Astyanax mexicanus: one gene and its partner. The protein of the gene in region 2 interacts with the protein of the main gene of each other region in a pairwise test. Links are inferred from orthologs where the notes say so. Each region holds a gene or a part of one and is shown on either strand. Other genes may lie near its edges.

Region 1 (7,778 bases), on a different chromosome or scaffold from region 2:
CACACTTTCTGTAAATCCTATAAACTTCATTTCACTTCTCAAATATCACTGTGTTCATCTGCTGTATGATATATTTAACTGAAATAGCTGATCCAAACAACCAATGATTTATAAAGAAAAATCATAAAAATGATCAGGGGTGCCCAGACTTTTTCATACCACTGTATATGTCCATTGAATATTAATGTATTTTAGTACAATGCAAATATATTACAGAAGCTAAGGTGGGTGATTTCGATTTTGCTGGAGTTTTTCACAATATCACCAACTTCTGTCAGACAAATAGGACAGAAAACATTCTAAAGGGGTGCCTTGAATACCAACACCTCTCTAACTGAGAGATAAGGATGATGTGGTTCATTGTTTCAAAAGCAGTGTGTGTGTGTGATTTAACCCATACTTCAGCATTGAAATTTTATTTCACAAGATTTTATATCACAGTATACTTGGTCGATACAGTACAGTTAGGCGCATACATATTTGTACAGTGAGACAATGACAATTTGTGATTTTGGCCTGCATTCCATCACACTGGATTTAAAATAAAACAAATGATATGCAAGATGCAAGTCAAATATTGAAAATGTGTTGAAAATGAATATCACATTTTTTAAATATTGTGTCACAATTATTATTGCTATAGAAATGAGCCCTGTTTAATCCTAAATAAAAAGTAATCTACCTACTGACCTCGGAACAGTACTGACGCTGTGTTTACATGGCTGAATGAAACCGATTATACATTACCAGGCTTTGTTAATGTGTTTTATGTATTGTTGTCATGTGATTAATGTATTAATAATGAATGTGTTTAATTTTACAGATTAATTGTGTGTTAACTTGTTAACCTTGACAGCACTAGTTCATAGATAGATAGATAGATAGATACTTTATTGATCCCCAAGGGGAAATTCTAGGCATCCAGCAGCAGGTATGTATAGTACACAAAGTTACAAAAAGATAAAATATAACGATACATATAAATACAATGAAATAAAAAAATTAAATGAAAAGTATAAAAGTACAGTCTTGTGTGTGTGTGTGTGTGTGTAATGGAGGTAGTGCAGTTGAACACAATATACAGTGAACACCAGCTGATGTGCATAAAGTGAGGATAACTGATGTCAGCCATACAGAAAGTGCAAATACACAGTTATATAATAATTAAAATTTAGCAGTGCGACAGATACGTAAACAGTAGATGAATGAACTTGTGAATGAACTACTAGTGCAAAATAGTGTTATAGGTATCAGCAAGACTGAGAGTGTGTCCATAGATGGGGGTGTGTAGACACTCATCATAATGAATGTGAAGTGTTCTGAGAGTAAATGTGTGTTATTAATAGTGATCAGGTTTTTAATGCATGTTTTTATTAATATGTATAAAATCACTCCTTTAAAAGCTGTGCTGTGTTTTATATTGTCCACTAGAGGCCAGCGCTGCACCTTCAGACAGATCCTATTCCTTTCACTTCTTTCACCTTTAAATATATACAAAAGTGTAATTACATGTACTTATGTTATATACACACTTATTATATGTTGTACCAGTGAGACCAAGTTGCTTCACCAGCATGGGCATATATATGAATCATTTCTACATTTTTGCAAATTTGTTATTCTTACTTTTTATTTTTAATTTAGACAGTTATGTTTATTTTATATTATATTTATTTAAATATATTTATACACTTATATGTCTTCATATACACTTATAATGCTTTATATATGAAGGCTTTAAAGAGAACTGATTTGATGATTTGATTATTGATATGGGATTATTAATTGGAAGTACTCTCTCTGTTTCTCTCTCTCTCTCTCTCTCTCTCTCTCTCTATATATATATATATATATATATGTGTGTATTATATTTATATTTGTCATATATATATATACCACAAATTTACATTGTAAATTTAATATTGACGTCTATATTAAAGCTCTACAGGAACACATGCAGCATTTTTCTGTAAAAAGTGTTAAACAAATCAGAATATGTTCTTACAAGTAGCACATTTATATTTAAGGACAGATCTGCACACTCTTGGTGTGATTTTAATCTCAGTGTATTCATGAGGGAGAGTCACCTGAAATATTTTTCTCAGCGTCTTGAAAGAAGGAGTTTCTGGAGGTGCTGAACAATAGCTGCTGCTTTTTCTTCACGCTGTGAAGCTCCAGCTCATCCCACTTAAATCACCTCAAATTATCATCTCAGTTCATCAGCTTTAGATCAGGGGATTCATGTGGAGGATAAACGCTTATTTTACTGTTTACCACATAAATCCATATGTGTCCCTTAAATGTTTCCATGTCTTTTTAATTAATCTACAATTTAGAAAATGAGTAAAGGAAAACATTAAATGTAAACTGGTTCTCAACTTTTATATAGCACTATAGATACAGGTATACACATGCGCAAAAGCCATATATTATTTCTGATATTTGAAAGGAGTGCACATTAAGATGTTAGATATGTGGTTGTGATTAGTATGAGTTATCTGAGTGTGATCTCGTGCTGTAGTAAAACTATAACCTTTAGGGAGGAAAACGACCCAATTAACAGCTCATTAGAGAAAGAGGGAAATTACACAATTATGAGTTTTTAATTTTAGTAAATGTGGGTCAGAGGGATTACAGAACACATTGAGCTCAACTGCCCTTTACAATTTCACCTGGGACAATGGGACAACACACACACACACACACACACACACACACACACAAATTCTATTATAATAGCAACTTTCCATCATAGGATCCTGTTATTAACTAAAAGGTCTCTCTGAGATAAAATACATTTTGTCAGTAAATTAAATGCCAATATTAGCAGTATTATCTTGTTAGTGTGTGTGTGCTCATGTGGCAGATCACTGTAACACATGTACAATCAATATTTTAATGCATTTTTACTGAGCTACAAACGCAGTTTAATTAAACAGTAAATTACCTTAACAGTCATTACAGTATTTGACTTTAGATTGTGAAGTTTTTCTTCAATACAAATAATCATGTGAGAATTAGAAATAGAGAAATAGAGGTCCTCTCCCTCTATTCAGTCTCTTTTTATACTGTATAAGGCCTTTCTCTTCATCTCTCTCTCTCTCCCTGTCTCTCTCTCTCTCTCTCTCTCTCTCTCTCTCTCTCTCTCTCTCTCTCAAAAAACAATGTATCTTCTTTTTCTCTTTAAAAAAGTGTGTATCTCTTTCCTCTCTCTCTCTTAGAAGTGTGTATCTCTTTTCTCTAACTCTAAAACTATGTATCTCTCTTCTCTCTCTCCATGCACTGGCAAATAAAAACTTTAAACACTGAAAGTACAAATGTTTATTGTAAAGAATAATTTCAGTATGTTAATGTATTTTATGCCAAAACTTACAATAGAAAAATTGTAATCCTCTGTAATTCACTGACAGTAAATTACTATTGTAGATATCATCGCTGTCCTATGAAAAACACTTATCTCCATTTTTGTTGATTTTTAGTTTACTACATAATTTGACCAGACAAACTGTCCCTTACACTGTGCCAAAATTTCTTGATGAACAGACCAATAGAAACTCTTGAAAAAAAAAACAGAAATAACTCTTTTTAAATTGACTTTCACTGAAAGTTTTCAAGTTTTTTTTCTCTCTCCTGTTAAGTTGCTGTTTTGTAGATAAGTGTTTTTCACTGGACACTCGATGATATACAGTAATATAATTATTTATTGGCAATGTTTTTGCTGTTGACTTACTGTAACATTTACAATAAACATTTTACAGTGTAGTAGTAGTTAATATAGAATTATACAAGGAAATTGTTAACTTTGCTCTGACTTTAAACACTAACACCATTGTGTGTGTAAGTGTGTGTGTGAGTCCAGCATGTGTGGTCAGACTGTTAACAAGGCCAAACTATGAGTCTTTTCTAAGAGATCAGAGACTTATGGGTTTCAGCCAATCAGAATGTGAGCTTCTTTGTGTGTCTTTGACTGTGTGTGTTTTTGTTTGTTTGTGAGTATTTGTGTGTGTGTGTGTGTGTAAAAACTTGCAGAGAAAGAGAGAGAGAGATTTATAGTTTTTAGACAGAAAGAGAGAAGAGATACATTTAGAGAGAGAAAGAAAATATACATAATTTTTAGAGAGAGATAGAGGAGAGATACATGCTTTTGAAAGAGAGATACATAGTTTTGAGAGAAAGAGAGAAGAGAGAGATACACACTTTTTTCAGAGAGAAAGAGAGAAAAGATCAAAAACACTTTAAAGAGAGAGAGAAGAGAGAGATAAACACTTTAGAAAGAGAGAGAGAAGAGAGATACACACTTGTTAGAGACAGAAAGAGAAGAGAGATACACACTTTTTTAGGAAGAGAGAGAGACAGACACTTTGGAGAGAGAGAAAAGAGATAAATACTTTAGAAAGAGAGAGAGATACACACATTTTTAGCGACAGAAAGAGAAGAGAGATACACATTGTTTTATATATATATATAGAGAGAGAGAGACACTTTGGAGAGAGAGAAAAGAGATAAATACTTTAGAAAGAGAGAGAGATACACACATTTTTAGAGACAGAAAGAGAAGAGAGATACACAATTTTTTATATATATATATATAGAGAGAGAGAGAGACACTTTTTGGAGAGAGAGAAAAGAGATACACACTTTAGAAAGAGAGAAGAGAAACATGTTTTAGACAGAGAGAGAAATACAGTATAGGGAGAGAGAATAGAGAGTGTTTGAGCGTCAATGAAAGAGAGAGAGAGAAAGTACAAAGACAGAGAGTGCAAAGGAAGAGAGACAGAAGGAGGTGGGGAGAAAGGAAGAGAGAGAGAGAGAGGCAGGAGGAGTCAGGAGAGGGTGTGTGTGTGTAAAAGAGAGAGAGAGACATCAGTAGAGAGCAGTGGTGTGTGTGAGTGTGTCCTGATCAGACAGTGGGAGTGTGTATAGGTGTGTGTGTGGTGTATTGTGAGGAGACTGTAGCAGTGTGTATGTGAGTGTTTTGTATGGGTGCAGTGTGAGCAGCAGTGGTGCAGCAGATCCCGGGTCAGTTCTGAGAGGGAGGAGAGGGAGAGTTGTGAAAGTTCTGGCTCTGGATCCATCAGCATGGCAGACAGTGTGATCGAGGAGTCCGATTACATCCCGGGAAAAGACGAGCTGGACTGGGGCTATGAGGAAGGTAAGGAATTCATTCAGTGATTCAGCTACACACACACACACACACACACACACACACACACACACATACTGGCTTTTCTCTGGGAGAAACATGAGCTGCACTGTCCCACCCATTAACACACTTCCAGTTTCAGAACAGACTCATTGAACTTTACTGTAAATAATAATCAAATTATCAGTATTTATTATCCACTATAAATCGTTCAATAACTATTACGCTCTATTTAGCATCTGTATCATTATCAGAATTCAGTGCTACCTGGGTTTTAAACATTTTTAAGATTACATAAGGTCATTGATCATATTTATAAGACTTTAGACTAAAGTAATCATATTTTACAGCTTAATCACTTTATATTTTCACTTTTTACTTCCTGTGATGCACAGTAGGTGAAGAGTGACAGGGTGGACAATGACAGGGCAGACAGTAAGGGTGGACATTGATAGTGACAGGGTAGACAATGATGGGGTGGACAGTGACAGGGTGAACAGTGACAGAATATAGACAGTGACAGGGTGTACAATGAGAGGATGAAGAGTGACAGGGTAGACAATGAGAGGACAATGAGAGGGTGGACAGTGAGAAGATGGAGAATGACAGGGTGGACAGTGACAGAGCAGACAATGAGGCTGGACATTGAGAGGATGGAAAGTGACAGGGTGAACAGTGACAGAATGGACAGTCACAGGGTGGACAGTGAGAGAATGAACAGTGACAGAATAGACAGTGACAGGGTGGACAATGAGAGGATGAAGAGTGACAGGGTAGACAATGAGAGGACAACCTGAGGGTGGACAGTGAGAAGTTGGAGAGTGACAGGGTGGACAGTGACAGGGCAGACAATGAGGCTGGACATTGAGAGGATGGAAAGTGACAGGGTGAACAGTGACAGAATAGACAGTGACAGGGTGGACAATGAGAGGATGAGTGACAGGGTAGACAATGAGAGGACAACAAGAGGGTGGACAGTGAGAAGATGGAGAGTGACAGGGTGGACAGTGACAGGGCAGACAATGAGGCTGGACATTGAGAGGATGGAAAGTGACAGGGTGAACAATGAGAGGATGAGTGACAGGGTAGACAATGAGAGCACAACAAGAGGGTGGACAGTGAGAAGATGGAGAGTGACAGGGTGGACAGTGACAGGGTAGACAGTGAGAGGTTGGAAAGTGACAGGGTGGACAGTGACAGTGGACAATGACAGGGCAGACAATAAGGGTGGAAATTGAGAGAATGGATAGTGACAGGGTGGACAATGACAGGGCAGACAATAAGGGTGGACATTGAGAGAATGGATAGTGACAGGGTAGACAATGATGGGGTGGACAGTGACAAGGTGAACTGTGACAGGGTAGACAATGAGAGGACAACGAGAGGATGGACAGTGAGAAGATGGAGAATGACAGGGTGGACAATGAGAGGACCAAGAGTGACAGGGTAGACAATGAGAAATTGGACAAAGAGAGGGTGTACAGTGACAGAATGGACACTGACAGGGTGGACAATGAGAAGGTATACAAACAAAAATCGGAATGCCAAATTGAAATTTGCAAAAAAAAAAAAAAGGAACTGCTTATAATCCAAAGCACACAAGCTCATCTGTGAAGCATGGTGCAGGTAATGTCATGGCTTTGGTGATGAATGCAGCTTCTGGAACAGCAGCACAAATGAAAAATGCAATAGCTTGGTGATGTTTTTGGGTCGCAGGCCTGAGGCAGTCACTGCATGCAAGGGCTTTGCCACCTAGTACTAAATGTTATTTACTTACTACTTAAAGCGGTATTATTTAGTTTCTAAACTGAAAGCAGATGCATTTCTGTGTGGAGAAGAATATGGATAAAATATTGCATTTAATGGTACCAGTGTGCTGAAACAACCATCCCTGCTAAGTCTAATATATTCATTCTAAAAACTGGGGTTTTTAGTTGGGTCGCTTTTCGTGTGAGTTCTTCTTCTTCTTCTGGCCACGTCACATGTTTTTACGTACTTAAATCACACGTACAGCCTCTAAAAGAGGATCTGGCTCAGTTTTTTTACTGATCGCGAGCAACTGGTGGAGCAATGGAGACTTCAGAAGGGGAAACTTGGATTGATCTGCTCTGAAAGGAGCATCACACCCACCCAGTTTAAAATGATTCTTACGCATGTTCGGTGCTATTACCCATTCTCACCAGAGAGGGCCCTAAATCTGCATGTGAGTACCAGGAAATAAAAGCTGACATTCCGAACTTTTGTCTCATGTTCAACTGATCTTTTGATCTTTTGATACAATACTTTTTGTGAGAGAACTGTATATGGTTCTAATGAGCTCAATAACAAAACTGATGACCTGTAAGTTATTATAACCTTAAACCAACAGCAAATAGTCCATACACACTGTTGTTATAGCGCTTTAGTACAATGGACACTTTATTTTTACAGTGCACTGTGTGTGTGTGTGTGTGTGTGTGTGTGTGTTTACTGAGCAGAGCACTAAAAAGAGTGTAATGCTATTTCAAATCTGTGGTCTTTACAGCCTGTGTGTGTGTATGTTGTATGGGTCAGTCCACCGCAGTGTGTGAGTGTGTGTGTGTGTGTGTGTGTGTGTGAGTGTGTGTAGTCTGTCACGGATGTCGGTCAGGAGAAT
Region 2 (7,629 bases):
CAAATATTGATTTTTTTGTCGCTTTTAAGCAATTCCCATATAAAATAGAATTTCTCAATTCTGATGCACAATACATCACTGAGATTCATGTTGCTGCTAATTTTGCTATTTATGTTTTATTATTTATTTTATATTCTATTTTTCGTTTTATTGTATTCTTAGATAATAATTGACCACATGTGATGTGAATGGCAATAAAGTCTCCTTAAATCCTTGGAAACCATTTGTTCACCTTGAGCAACATCTAGTCTGTTTTGCTCTTATTCCTTTAATAGCAAAATGCTTTGCCACAACCCAGCAAATGATTCAGTACAACTGTCCGCTGTTTCTCAATTTATCAATCACTTTTTGTCTTTAGATTAATATATTTATTTTAATTTACTGAACTCTACTAATCTCCAAAACATCCAACCATTAGTTCACTTTATACATCCTTACAGAAACATGAGTTAAACCTGCCCTCAAGAGCTGTAAAACAGACTTTTCTGGGAAATATCTCCTGAACTAATAAAATAAGGGCCACATATTACCAATCATGAGAGTACAACAGCAGGGGCTGCTCAAAGGATGCAGCCAATTGTTGAAAAAAATCAATAATTCAAACGTTATATAGAGAGAACAGATGTGTAATGTAATCTAAGAGTTTAGTGTCTGATTTCAAAAAACACCTTAAGGGATTTTTTTTCGTTAAGATTGCCCTTAAAGATCCCTTAACTGTGTTGCAGGAAAAAATATAATCTAAGAGCTTTTTTAAATAAAATCTTCATTAACACTAAAACATAAAATAATCTAAATAAAACTATTAAAAAGTTGTGTTTTAAACAAAAATCAGTCTATTACAAAACTAGCATTTGCTAGGACATTTCCAGTAACAATTTTTTGAAGAAGAAGCGATTGATTTTTAAAGAAAACATATTTATGTTTGCTATACTATATTTGCTGTAGCTTACTACAGTAGGGTAAAAAAAAAAAAACATTTAATCACTTTTAACTATAGATGATAAAATAATGATATCGGAATGTATCGGCAGACATTTGCTTTAAAATCCACTGATTTCAGCTAAATTTTCATTTATTTTTATTAGTTACAACAGATATATTGTTTTATTTAACCTGTTAATTTTGTGATCAGTCTCTGTTAGTGTGTCAGTGTCAGGTTTTTGTCAGACAGAGAGATGGAAACCCTAACAGAACTCATTTTAGCAGACTTTAAACAGACTACACTAAAATGCAACTAAATTACCCTGTAGTTGACAAAACATGGTTTTATTAACAAAAAACTAAATCAAGTAATATATAATAAAAAAAAGTATAGGATTTTCCTGTTACCAACATACAGATCCGTGTTTTAAAATCCATATTTTGAACTGATTTAACTAAAAAAACGAAGAAGCACATGACAAAGGGTAAGTGTAATAAATATGATTTACATTTTGTGATTGTTTAAAGCTAAATTTGAAAATAGAGAATGTTTTTTTCTAATGTTTTGGTTTTTAATGTTTTCTGATTTTTTCCATTTTTTCTTTTTGTAAAAAACATTTTTTTTTAAAATAACATTTAAATCCAATCTGTGAAAACCATGGTAACATCTTTCTGTGTTACAGATTTTACTGGCAGAAATGTATGTTTTTATGTCATAGCATTTTGTAGAAGAATATTTAGTTTCCCACTGTTCCCTGTTGAAACTCTAACCAGCACTTGTTCAAGTAATAAAATATATTGTCTCTAACTGAGCCCTTTATAAAAAATGTACCAGTAATCTTTATTGATATTTGATTAAAAATCTGTTAATTTATTTTGTTATTTATTTGAACAGCTTAACCCTCTATGGCATACATTAAATTAAATATAGTTTCTATTGATATATCAAATATACATTGCTATTTTGACTTTTTATAACAAACTGATGATTTGGATCAGATGTTTTAGAGCAAGAAGGCTCCAAAAAACATAATGTTGCCCAAAGACAATGATGAGTTTACAACAAAAATATAGTAAAAATATAGACAGCTAAATATACTTCTTGACATATTCTTGCACATATACATATATTTTACTTGTGACCCACTTGTGCATCTCATTGTATGGTATTGGACAGCTTTAACAACTAAAAAAACAACTAAAAGGTACTTTATGGACTTTTAGACTGATCTTTTTTCTTTCACTTAAAATAAAACATCTTAAAATAGTGAATAAAATAACAGGAACTCAATGCTGTTTTAGTTTTTTTGGAAAAAGGTGAAAATTCCACCTACAGTATATATTATGTTGTGTTCTGACCTGCAGTTCTCTTTATGCAGGTTTATTATATTTATCTTGTCTGTTTTTTTTTAACTTTGAGATGTTAAGTTGTTTATTTGTTATAAGTTACAGCATTAAATATTGTTTTATTATACTGTAGAACCTTATATTGGTGGTTTATTGATGTAGATACACTTATTTGATGAACTTTTCTTTGTTTTCCTGAATTAAACTCTAGCACAGAGTTTTTAATCACACTTATCTTCAGAACCATCGACACCGGGACCGGCCCATTCACCCCCCCTCCTCTGTATGCTCCTCTTTAGCATTACAGTAGATACAGATCTTTATATCAGTTCTGATGTAAATGCAGTGACACTGTGGACGGGCAGCACTTCACCCGCTGTTTAATCCCAGGGTGTGAGGACTGTTGTTATGCAGATCTGACCAATCAGAGAGTGTCTCACCCTCTGAGAGTTAAACACATGCTAAACTTCAGAGTGATCTACCTGTGATACCTGCATCTCTAATCACTCAGTCCTGCGTTAAACTAATCATTCAGACCGACTGAAGCACAGAACTTTAATTTAATTTTTTTTTTAATTTTCTGATTTATATTTGTATTAATAGCCCTAAATAACGATGTCACTATATTTCAGGGTATTTTTGTGTTAACGGTATTCTTGGTGATATGACAGATTTTTTTTATTAATAGTTCTAAGAATATACTACAGCATAAATAAATAAATACATATTACAACTTTATTTAGTAATTAATTTAATACATTCAGAACAAACAAAAAAAAAACGGTCTATTTTTTAAACTGTCTATTTTTAAGAAATGAACAGTAAAATAATAAAAATGAAACAAAAGTAAAAATAATGTAATAATGTAAACACAGAGAACAAACCTGCAGCACAGTTAGTGATACATATAAACTGCCACCCAAATGAAAAATGAAATACAGTAAATAATAAAACAAATACAAATTATCACCATATTGATTTTTTTATTGTTTCAATTGTTTTTCCTGTATTATGGCAAACCCCCTGCATTCAAGCCTGTCTGGTCAATACTATCTGAAACAGAAACTGATTTAGATTAATTAGTAAGTAAGTAATTCATTTTTATTTAGACCTTGTAATAAATGTATTAAAATAAAATACACCAAATAGTAAGATTGAAGATGTAGGTGTTTTGTTGTTATGTGTACAGTAAACAGGCAGTTACAGTTACTCCACATATACACAATTAATTATAGAAATATAGTAATATTCATAGTTAAGTAGTTATACAGAATGGGCAACATGGCAGTAATATAGCTTTTTAAGCTGTAAATGAAGAAAGAAGTAAAGTTTAAAACAACAAACTGACTGGATATGACATACACAATATTAATATATATTAATACCTATAAAATAGTCTAAGATTTATATCAGTAAAACTTTTATTTATAAAATATACAGCTCTGGAAAAATGGCCACTTAAAAATAATGAGTTTCCTTACTGAAAACCTCTGGAATATAATCAAGAGGAAGATGGATGATCACAAACCATCAAACCACCAAACTGAACTGCTTGAATTTCTGCACCAGGAGTAAAGCAGCATAAAGTTATCCAAAAGCAGTGTGTAAGACTGGTGGAGGAGGAGAACATGATGCCAAGATGCATGCAAACTGATTAAAAACCAGGGTTATTCCACCAAATATTGATTATTTCTGAACTTTTAAAACTTTATGAATATGAACTTGTTTTTTTTTTGCATTATTTGAACTCTGCATTTTTTTTGTTATTTCAGTCATTTCTCGTTTTCTGCATATAAATGCTCAATTTAAATAAATTACAATATTTTTATTTGGGATTTGGGAGAAATGTTGTCTGTAGTTTATAGAATAAAACAACAATGTTCATTTCACTCAAACATAAACCTATAAATAGTAAAATCAGAGAAACTGATTCAGAAACTGAAGTGATCTCAATTTTTTTTTCAGAGCTGTGTATAATATTATGCCCTAAACTGCAGTTCTGTATATGCAGATATATCTGCCTGTACATACATGTATATTTAATATGTATATCAATATTATTTTCTTTTTCTATTGTATGTAAACTAAAGAGAACTACACAATTAAAGTAAATAATAAATAAAACAGTTTTATGTTGTAATGAGAGAGGTATTAGTATTATAGAGGCTGGGAGTAGGGGGCGCTGAAGCTGCGCGCTGAGGAGAGCTAAACCCGCAGAAGAAGAGTTTAAACGGTTTGGCTCCGGGCGGGGAGCTGCGGAATTAAAGGTAAATAAATTTATAAAAACAGAATGTATTTCTATATTTACCTCCTAATTCACTTAATAACAGTTACCTCAGGTAAATATATGCTATAGAACCGGTCGGGTTATTCGGTAACGGTACAAAAACCAGCTAAACTAGACTAAACTAGTTATTTAGCCCGGCTAAAGCTAACCAGCTAACTAACCCGGTCTCTCAGAACTAGTAAATTAGCTAACAGAACCTAAGAACAACTATTAGCTTTAGCCTGGATACTGGTGTTTATTAACAGAGTTTAGCTACACAGTTCTCTAGGTTTAGCCCTTAAATCATTAAATTAAAAAGTGTAAAGAATTGAAAATGTGAACAGTATATTTAATCTACGTTCTAATTTTCTTTTACATTGATTTTTATGCTTATTATTGTTGTGTATTATTGTGCTTTATTGTGTAAGTTAAGTTCTACTGCCTGCTAAATTTCCTTTAGGATCAATAAAAAAGATGGTCTGTCTGTCTCTTTGTTTTTGCCTGACTGTCTTTCTGTATGTCTGTCAATTTATGTACGGTATCTAGTTTTCTGCCTATTTATCGGTTAGGGCTGGGTGATATTGTATGAAAAATAACTCTATATGATTTATTTTTTATAACTTTTATAACAACCAGTTGTTTTATTTGTGAACAGTGAACACCATTTACATGTTTACATTTTATGTTTTTAATGAATAGTAATCAGCACCTTTAACATTTTGCAGCTTTTATATTAAACACAATGTAAACATAACCTCCTTATATTTTACTTACATAATAGGTAAAGTCTAAATTAAGTAAATCAGTGTTTTCTGACTGAAAATAATCCTCTGTCCACTTAGATTCTCAATGCAGCTTCCATATGATGCAGCTTCCATATGTAAAGATGTACATATTGGTCATCTCCATTATATCATTTTGAAAATTGAAATAAAACAGTAATTTTAATCTTCGTTTAAATGCCAATTTTGGACAAAACTTATGAATTCTTAGTGTAGTGTAAACACTATAAACAATGGTCAATTGAGTGTTCCTTGTACAATTAAAAAATTTATCCTCTAAAATAATTTCTTTTTTTTCATATCTAACAAAAACTGTAACTGAAATATCCATGAATATCAAATTAATTCAGGAATTGATGTATGATATATGAACAGTACAATTTAGCATAATAACTGAATTGAAAAATGTGCTTAAACAATTGTAATAATATTTATAGGTATAATACTGTACAGCGGTTAATGATATAGCGGTCTATTGATCAATGCTGTCAGAATTGATTCATCTCTCAACCAACATTTAAACAACTAGTTCCAGTCTAAATATGTATACTGTACGGCTCAGCAATAACTGTGAAATTAGAATTAATGGTTGCTGCCTGTGTGTGTAGCGAAATGTTTTTTAGGAGGAAATAATGTTAAATAAAATGAATGAAAGTTAAAATAACGTGTATTAATTGCTGTTATTTTCTGTGTAAAGATGTCGTTTGCAGAGAGTGAGATTCTGGCGTTGAGGCAGAAGGTGGACGAGTCGGAGCAGGCTCTTCAGAAAGCAGCGCAGTATGGACTTCAGCTCCTGGATGATAAAATGGATCTCCAGAATAAACTGGAGGAGCAGCGAGTAGAAATGACGGCTGTAATAGAGGTCAGTTTTACACTTGATCAACTATATAAATTGTCGATGTGGGTAATGGGCTCACACACTCTGCTCGTTCTCTGTGTATTTAACAATGTAAACAAACCAGATAAGGGACAAGACAACAGCCATACTCACTGTGCATCATCTCATTATACATTTAAACACGATCTCAGCATTTAAATCACACATTTAGTGGCTTTTGCTGATTCTCTAGTAGAATTTAAATTCAGTACTATTCTTAGATCAGTCAAAGTTAAAGGCTGCATGCAAATAAAGATAAATTAGTGTTAATTACAAAATATACTGATTAGAAATTAGAGAATATTTTACAGCTGTGCTTGATTATATGTGTTTGTTTTACAGGGTCTGGAGCAAGAGAAATACTCCCTGCAGAGAGAAGTAGAGCTGAAGGTCCGAATGCTGGACAGCCTTCATTCAGAATTCGATTATTTTAAAAACCAGCAGAAGCAAACAATAGAGCTGCAGCAAGCAGAGCTGGAGAGGAACCATGTGGTGGAACTCACAGACGTCAAGAACAAGGTCAGCCCTAAATACAGTAAACAGGGTTTTACATATATATATATATATATATATATATATATATATATATATATATATATATATATATATATATATATAGTCCCAGAAATTATTGCAATAAACAATATTATTATTATTTTAAGATAATTAAATGCCACTGGCTAAATACAAATAGGACAGCATAACAAAGCATGTATGCACTTTAAACGGCAACAACATTAATCATAGTTTGTGAAATATATAATTTATTCTTCATCTACTGTAGTCACTGCACACTGTGTGTATGAAGTGTATGAAGTCACAGTTACTGAAGCACTGATTGGTCATTTACCATATTTTTCATGGGTTTACCGTGTTAAAACAAGCTATGTGGTACGAACTGCTTGCTAATATCGCCCTGACTTCCTCAGTGTAGCGCTGTTAGGCTAGCAGTTAGCCGCTAATGCTAATGCTCCAGCCTTAGTGCTGGAGAAATTTGGGAATCTAAGCTTACTGTAAATAAACAGTAGCACTTTACTCACCCAAATAAGGAGAGATTTTTAGGAGAGAAATATGTGTAGATTAACATCCATAATATAAAAATATGGTAGCAAAACTGGCTAAAATATTTTTCACTGTTATATATGTGAACAGACATATAAATAAACACAATAGACCTGGGGGGTATTCCAGAAAGCAGGTTAAGTGACAAAACCGGGTAAGTAAACTCAGAGTTAACGGAAACTCAGAGTTTTCCGTTCCAGAAACTTAGCTTAGAGAGAACCTGAGTCAGTTACTATAGCAACTTACGCTCTGAAGCTAACCTGCTCGCTGGCAGGTTAACTTACTCCGAACTCAGGGTCACGCCCACTTTTCTCATGCAAACAGATCCAGTTGATATTGAAGCGCAAATTATTCGCAGAGCTCTCCGTCCTGAA

The links.
Region 1: the proteins of spdl1 (region 2) and ca8 interact in binary tests that used the Homo sapiens proteins (3 or more experiments, as listed by UniProt). The two-hybrid records come from large-scale screens. The link is inferred for Astyanax mexicanus from reciprocal best matches to the Homo sapiens genes SPDL1 and CA8.

Annotation. Positions count from the first base shown.
Region 1 is NC_064425.1:41,311,424-41,319,201, reverse strand, and holds the start of ca8 (carbonic anhydrase-related protein), read left to right. Parts: upstream 1-4,606; 5' UTR 4,607-5,079; coding exon 5,080-5,152; intron 5,153-7,778. UniProt on the Homo sapiens protein: Does not have a carbonic anhydrase catalytic activity.
Region 2 is NC_064417.1:53,769,824-53,777,452, reverse strand, and holds the start of spdl1 (protein Spindly), read left to right. Parts: upstream 1-4,415; 5' UTR 4,416-4,535; intron 4,536-6,013; coding exon 6,014-6,178; intron 6,179-6,535; coding exon 6,536-6,712; intron 6,713-7,629. UniProt on the Homo sapiens protein: Required for the localization of dynein and dynactin to the mitotic kintochore.